2 linked regions of the Danio rerio genome follow. The protein of the gene in region 2 interacts with the protein of the main gene of each other region in a biochemical or structural test. Links are inferred from orthologs where the notes say so. Each region holds a gene or a part of one and is shown on either strand. Other genes may lie near its edges.

Region 1 (4,271 bases), on a different chromosome or scaffold from region 2:
GTGTGTGTGTGTATGTGATGTGAGGTGTGTGTATGTGTGTTTGGAGGGGCTGTGTGCATGTGTGAAGCGTGTGTTTGTGTGGTGTGCTGTGTGTGTGACAGAAAGAGTGTGTGTAATATAGGTGGTGTGAGGTGTGTGTGCATGGTTGGTGTGAGTGTGTGTCTGGTGTGCAGTGTGTGTGTGTTTGGGGGGGGGGGTGGTGTGTGGGTTGAGTGGGTGTACTTGAGGTGTGTGAGTGTGATTGCATGTGTGTGTGTTGGGATGTGCATGAGGTGTGTGTGTATGTGTGTGTGTGTGAGCGAGCGAAAGAAGGGGGGGTGGGTGTATATGAAGAGTGTGTGTGTATGTGTGTGTATGTGTGTGTGTGTGTGTGCGGGTGTATGTGTGTGTGTGTATGTGTGTGTGTGTGTGTGTGTATGTTTTGGGGTGGGCTGTGCGTGTGTTTGTGATTGCGTGTTTGTGTTGGTATGTGCATATGAGTTGTGTGTGTGTGTGTGTGTGTGTGTGTGTGTGTGTGTGTGTTAATGATTGTGTGTGTATGTGTGTGGTGTGCAGTGTGTGTCTGTGTTTGGGAAGATTGTGTGTGTGTGTGTGTGTGTTAATGATTGTGTGTGTATGTGTGTGGTGTGCAGTGTGTGTCTGTGTTTGGGAAGATTGTGTGTGTGTGTGTGTGTATGTTTTGGGGTTGGCTGTGAGTGTGTTTGTGATTGCGTGTTTGTGTTGTCATGTGCATATGAGTTGTGTGTGTGTGTGTGTGTGTGTGTTTGTGATTGTGTGTGTGTGGTGTACAGTGTGTCTGTGTTTGGGAAGATTGTGTGTGTGTGTGTGTGTGTGTGTGCATGTATGTGTGTGTGTATTGGGGGGTTTATGTAAGGTGTGTGTGTGTGTGTGTGTGTATGTGTGTGTTTGTGTGTGTATGTGTGTGGTGTTCAGTGTGTCTGTGTTTGGGGGGAGTGTGTGTTTGTGTATGTGTGTGTGTGTGTGTGTGTGTGTGTGTGTGTATTGGGGGTTTATGTCAGGTGTGTGTCTGTGAGAAAGAAAAAGAAATGGAGTATGCGTAGTGTGTGTGTGTGTGTGTGTGTGTGTGTGTGTGTGTGTGTGTGAACTCTCATGGTAAATGTGTCAGTGGTATACTATTTGCTGGTATTTATCTCTGGGTTGATGTTAGCTGCCTTGTCAAGTTTCAAGTTCATGTTTCAAGGTCTGAAGAGCCATTCTGAGGAAAAAAACCCGAGGCGTGAGTGGTAGAGCGAGAGAGAGAGAGACATTCGCTGGAATTCCCCCTCCCTGAGACTGTGCTCACCTGGCCCCGCCCCCGATTCCATACCTGGCCGTGCCCATTTCAGCCCTATAAATACACGAGGAGCAGGTGCAGCAGAACGCTCAATGCTAAAGCAGATCTCTCACTGACTGGATTATTACTGACGCAGCTCTCACACTGGGATTTTACCTGGAAAACAATCTTTGACCACCACAACTGGTAACTAATCAGCATTTTAAATCATATTTCTACACAAAAACACGTGTATTTCTGAATTCTAAATTGGCGTTGCTTTCCATCACGCAGGATCCTCATGGCGTCAAGCGAACTTAGTCTAATTCTCAACAACGCCAATGCCAACCTGTACCCTGAGCCGCAGGCCAGCCTGTTGAGCATGTGCAGACCACCGCATCTCTCCGAGATCACCTTCAACAGCAACAGCACATTAGGTAAGAGTGCACTCCTGCTCACTCAATAACGGCTCTCATCCTCGCCAGGGATGTTTCCCATCACCTAAACGAGAGTTCAGACATGCTGATAATCCCTCAGTCTGACCTCGTGAATAATTAACCCAGGCAATGTTTAACTCGGGCCCGCAGCAGACGTGCAGGAATGCTTTCGTTAGGCTCTTTCAGCCATTGTTGACAATGCGATCAAAACCTGCAGGGTGTCAACACAACCGATAGTTAAACACACAACAGAAGCTGCGGCCCTGGAGACAGTAAACCTGAGCGGCTATTCTTCTATTGTTAGAGGCGTCTCGTCATGTCAGGTGTGATTGAGGCTAAATGTGCTCCCGTTCTCCGGCAGGCTCCTGGGACCAGGTGAACCCGCAGATGTGGAGCAGGCAGAACGTTCTGGAGTGGATCGGCTTTCACGTGGAGGAGAGCAGATTCGACGCCGGCTTGCTGAATCTGAACTACTGCACCATGGATGGGCTCACACTTTGCGCAACATCCAAGGAAGCGCTGATGAGCATGTTCGGGCCGGAGTTGGGCAATCTGCTACACCACAGTCTGGAGAGCCTGAAGGCGAGATATGGTGAGTAACTGTTGTAGATAAACTTGCTGTTTAGTAATTGATGTTGAACTATTTGGAAGTAACACACACCTGAGGTGCTGATGTGGCCGTTAAACCTCATGATTTACTAAGAATTCAATGCCCTGGAATCAATGTAAAAGCATCTGTTAGGGATTCATTGTTTTGTCCTTAATCATCTCCTGTGTGTAGCACTAGTGTCCTCCACATCTCCTCCTGCTGCTGTGTTTTGTTGTGATTTTTGACTGTGGTAGTTGTGATTGAACTCATTCAGCGGGGTGATATGCAGCTGTAATGCACTCTTGAACTACTTCAGCTTTGAATTTATCCACAAACGCTCTTAAGGATGTAAACTGTTCTGATTTTTGGTGGCTGCATGCATTAACAATCTTTTTGTTGCATCCCTAGTTAATGACCTATCTGAGAACACCGTCCTGAGCGAATCCGAGTTTGAGCTACTAGACAACATCCTGCAGAACTCATTTCCCTCCATGCATGGACCAGGCCTGGGGCCTCTGCTGGAAACTGTGGTGGTCCAGTCTACAATTCCAACAGGTGAGCCGCAAATCCCACTCAAGACAAAAAACCCCCAGAGAGCAGGTCTATCCCTACTGGGAGTAACATTTAAAATTGTTTGTTGCAGACAATTCAGACGCCAAATACAGCTACTTCGATGAGTACACCAGCCAGCTGACCCCAGAGAGTGACCACGGCTACGACTCTCTCACGGAGAGCTTTCAGAGTTCCCATGCTGGTAAGAATCCCCACTAAAACCTAAACAACTCAGGTCAAGGGCGCTCTGTGAACGAACATTATTGAACATGTACTTCGGTTTGTCCTGTGTAGGCAGCTTCCTGAACCCGAGCTCACCTGAGTCCAACAGCAGTGATTCTGACCCTGAATACTCGGAGACTCCTTACTCCATCAGCTCCAGTAAGTTCCTCTCACTCGTCTACAGTTGCTCCACCTCACTCCTGCATGGCGATCTACCTGCAGAGTTTCACCTGAATAGGCCGACATGTGTCGTCAGGACTACCTGACAATCACACAGGCTGAAACTAAACTCTGCAGGAAGATGCTCCTCGAGTATACTGCCCTACAGAGGACAGTATCTACGCAAACACAAAGCTTTGACAACAGATCAGATTCTGTAGTTAATATACGTAGATTTACACCTCAATATTGACCAAATGTGTAGATACTGCTCCTTTTAGGGCAGCATAATAATAAGGGAGTTCCCTGGATGACCCCAAAACACAAACCTCTGACATTCAGTTGTATTGTCTGCTTTCCACAGAGAACTTTTCAAAACAAGAGCCAGAAAAGACCAAGAGAGGCAGAGGACGACCTCCCAAGCTCAGGGATAGTGACGGATTTGATCACTTCATTCAGTCCAAGAAAAGCAAACATGGTGAGTACGCAGAGCTCTGCCTTTAGAGGCTCCTGATGCACACATATGCAGTGTACTAAACTAGACTCCACTGTTCCCCCAAAGCTCCAAGAGGAACCCACCTGTGGGAGTTCATCCGGGATATCCTGATCCACCCGGAGCAGAACCAGGGGCTGATGAAGTGGGAGGACCGCAGGGACGGCGTCTTCAAGTTCTTGAAGTCTGAAGCTGTTGCTCAGCTCTGGGGGCAGAAGAAGAAGAACAGCAGCATGACCTACGAGAAGCTCAGCAGAGCCATGAGGTATAAATCAATCCTAAAATCACTGGGGAGCCTGGGAGCAATAGGGGAGTCTGGGTTTGTGGCAGTGGAGCCTGGGACAGAAGAATAATCAAAACTCTTGCTCTTTCTGACAGGTATTACTACAAGAGAGAGATTCTGGAGAGGGTGGACGGACGGAGGCTTGTTTACAAGTTCGGGAAGAACTCCACCGGTTGGAGGATAGAGGAGACCGGTTATTAAAGTTGACCGTCGGAGATCGCTTTCAGGAAAAATGTAGAGACTTTGGACTCCTGCTAATGAGG
Region 2 (3,614 bases):
TACTAACTCAAAATTATGACTTACTAAATCAAAATTGAGATAAGTTGTTTTAATGATAAGTTGTTTTGTCAAAATGATGAAAAACTAACTTAAAATTATGACAAAAAGACTAAGTCGAAATCTAATTACTAAATCAAAAGTATGAGATAAAGTTCAAATCAAGTGTATAATTCAAAATCAGGATTTACTGACTTATCAGGACACAAATGTGTATAATGACAGGGGTATGACACCGGTATTGCAAAAATGTGGTGAACCGTGAGTACATTGCTGATGTCCTCATTTCTCCAAAAGCTTCTAAATCACAGAGACTGAGTGTTTTTCAGAAAGTAAATCTGTCTACAGTTTCCTGTGAGGGTTGGGTTTGGTGGTAGGGTGGGGTTAGAGCGATACAAAATACAGTTTGTTCATTAAAAAAACAATCTAAACCTATGTAAGGTCCCCACAATTCACAAAGATAAACCTGTATGCGTCTTTCTTACAGGTCAGCTTCTGCCGAATGTGTTCAAGTCTCACGCGTGGGGGATTCTGCACACACTGCTGGAGATGTTCAGCTACCGCATGCACCACATTCAGCCTCATTACCGCGTGCAGCTCCTGTCCCATCTGCACTCGCTCGCCGCTGTCCCACAGACCAATCAGAACCAGCTGCACCTCTGGTTAGACTCCGCCCACACACACTGTTCAACTTAACTGATAACTGTTTAACTTCACTGTTAGTTTCCACTTCATGCCATTAATGATCGACAAGTGTTATACAGTTGAAGTCGAAACTATTTGCCCTCCTGTGAATAAAAAAAAAACTATATTTATGTATTAATAATCCATAATGATTTACAGAGTCTCTCTCTCAATTCAATTCAATAATTGCTTTATTGGCATGACAATTGTTAAAAATGTATTGTCAAAGCAGTTATACAATTTACATAAAAGTAGCATGCATATATATTAAAAAAAGAACAGTACACACAGTCAATAGTAGTGGTAAAAAATAAATAAAAAAAGATGATATTTATATATAATAATTAAATAAAATATCAACAATAAATCATATTATTCAATATATCACATTAATATTCAACTCTTTCTCTCTGTGTGTGTGCGTGTGTGCGTGTGTGTGCGTGTGTCTGTCTGTCTGTCTGTCTGTCTGTCTGTCTGTCTGTCTGTCTGTCTGTCTGTCTGTCTCTTGACAGTGTTGAAAGCACAGCTCTGCGCCTGATCACGGCTCTGGGTAGTTCCGAGGTTCAGCCTCAGTTCACACGGTTCCTCAACGACCCAAAAACAGTGCTGTCGGCCGAGTCTGAGGAGCTAAACCGAGCACTCATCCTCACACTGGCCCGGGCCACTCACGTCACAGGTACGCACACACATTTCATTCACACACACTTACGACTAATTTTTTTTTTACATTGTAAATGCGTAGTCCTGAATATAGTCAGATCTGTTTGTATGTCTCTGCCTGTGTCTGTCGGTCTGTCTCTCTGTTTGTGTGTGCATGCAGATTTCTTTACAGGCTCGGACTCGATTCAGGGCACTTGGTGTAAAGACATCCTGCAGACCATCATGAACTTCACACCTCATAACTGGGCCTCTCACACTCTTAGCTGTTTCCCTGCTCCACTGCAGGTACACACACACACACACATGCACGCTCAAGCATTACACACATGCGCACATAAACACATTTACACTGGCACATACTCTCATACAAACACACACATTCTCTGGCTCTCTGCAACTCTCACATGGTCGCACACTAAAGCTAAGCAGGGCTGCGCCCGGTCAGTACCTGGATGGGAGACTGCATGGGAAAGCTAGGTTGCTGCTGGAAGTGGTGTTAGAGAGACCAGCAGGGGGCGCCTAACCTGTGGTTTATCTGGTTTCTAACGCCCCAGTATAGTGAAGGGGACTCTATACTGCTCAGTGAGCGCCGTGTTTTGGATGAGATGTTAAACCGAGGTCCCAACTCTCTGTGGTCATTAAAAATCACCGGATGTCCTTTGCAAAAGTGTAGGGGTTTAACCCCGGCATCCAGGCCAAATTTGCCCTCTGGCCTCTGTCCATCCTGGCTTCCTTACCCTCCCATTATCATAATAGGCTTCATCACCCTCTCCACCAATCAGCTGGTGTGTAGTGTACATATAGTAGGGATGTAACGGTACCAGAATTTCACGGTACGGTAATACCTCGGTATGAATGTCACGGTACGGTATTTATTGAATCATTTACAGGAAAAAACAAAACTTATGAAAATACTCCAAAAAAGTGCGTAACGTTGTGCATTGTCTTTCCCCCACTTGAGAGGACAAGCCATGAGTGAGATAGAGGTCTCATGTCTGTATCAATCTGAATAGTGTGCTGTGTCACACCCTCCGTCCCGCCCTTCAGTAGGCACGCGACAACACCGCTCTTGAGTATGCGCGCTCAACCCCCCTCCCCGCTTTACAGTACGCGCGCGACAACACAGCTGATCAGAACGCGCGCAACAACACCGGTATTTTCTACGCGCGCGACAACACAGCTGATCAGAACGCGCGCGACAACACAGCTGATCAGAACGCGCGCAACAACACCGGTATTTTCTACGCGTGCGACAACACAGCTGATCAGAACGCGCGCGACAACACAGCTGATCAGAACGCGCGCGACAACACAGCTGATCAGAACGCGCGCGACAACACAGCTGATCAGAACGCGCGCGACAACACAGCTGATCAGAACGCGCGCGACAACACAGCTGATCAGAACGCGCGCGACAACACAGCTGATCAGAACGCGCGCGACAACACAGCTGATCAGAACGCGCGCGACAACACAGCTGATCAGAACGCGCGCGACAACACAGCTGATCAGAAGGCGCGCGACAACACAGCTGATCAGAAGGCGCGCGACAACACAGCTGATCAGAAGGCGCGCGACAACACAGCTGATCAGAACGCGCGCGACAACACAGCTGATCAGAACGCGCGACAACACAGCTGATCAGAACGCGCGACAACACAGCTGATCAGAACGCGCGCGACAACACAGCTGATCAGAACGCGCGCGACAACACAGCTGATCAGAACGCGCGCGACAACACAGCTGATCAGAACGCGCGCGACAACACAGCTGATCAGAAGGCGCGCGACAACACAGCTGATCAGAAGGCGCGCGACAACACAGCTGATCAGAAGGCGCGCGACAACACAGTTGATCAGAACGCGCGCGACAACACAGCTGATCAGAACGCGCGCGACAACACAGCTGATCAGAACGCGCGCGACAACACAGCTGATCAGAACGCGCGCGACAACACAGCTGATCAGAACGCGCGCGACAACACAGCTGATCAGAACGCGCGCGACAACACAGCTGATCAGAACGCGCGCGACAACACAGCTGATCAGAACGCGCGCGACAACACAGCTGATCAGAACGCGCGCGACAACACAGCTGATCAGAACGCGCGCGACAACACAGCTGATCAGAACGCGCGCGACAACACAGCTGATCAGAACGCGCGCGACAACACAGCTGATCAGAACGCGCGCGACAACACAGCTGATCAGAACGCGCGCGACAACACAGCTGATCAGAACGCGCGCGACAACACAGCTGATCAGAACGCGCGC

Evidence for each region.
Region 1: the proteins of med23 (region 2) and elf3 form a complex in vitro, tested with the Homo sapiens proteins (4 studies listed by BioGRID, with this or other methods). The link is inferred for Danio rerio from reciprocal best matches to the Homo sapiens genes MED23 and ELF3.

Annotation. Positions count from the first base shown.
Region 1 is NC_133197.1:678,274-682,544, forward strand, and holds the start of elf3 (ETS-related transcription factor Elf-3), read left to right. Parts: upstream 1-1,379; 5' UTR 1,380-1,480; intron 1,481-1,567; 5' UTR 1,568-1,574; coding exon 1,575-1,710; intron 1,711-2,071; coding exon 2,072-2,302; intron 2,303-2,707; coding exon 2,708-2,854; intron 2,855-2,942; coding exon 2,943-3,053; intron 3,054-3,145; coding exon 3,146-3,232; intron 3,233-3,596; coding exon 3,597-3,710; intron 3,711-3,794; coding exon 3,795-3,990; intron 3,991-4,103; coding exon 4,104-4,209; 3' UTR 4,210-4,271. UniProt on the Homo sapiens protein: Transcriptional activator that binds and transactivates ETS sequences containing the consensus nucleotide core sequence GGA[AT]. Acts synergistically with POU2F3 to transactivate the SPRR2A promoter and with RUNX1 to transactivate the ANGPT1 promoter.
Region 2 is NC_133195.1:2,630,769-2,634,382, reverse strand, and holds part of med23 (mediator of RNA polymerase II transcription subunit 23), read left to right. Parts: intron 1-484; coding exon 485-659; intron 660-1,193; coding exon 1,194-1,357; intron 1,358-1,501; coding exon 1,502-1,626; intron 1,627-3,614. UniProt on the Homo sapiens protein: Required for transcriptional activation subsequent to the assembly of the pre-initiation complex. Component of the Mediator complex, a coactivator involved in the regulated transcription of nearly all RNA polymerase II-dependent genes.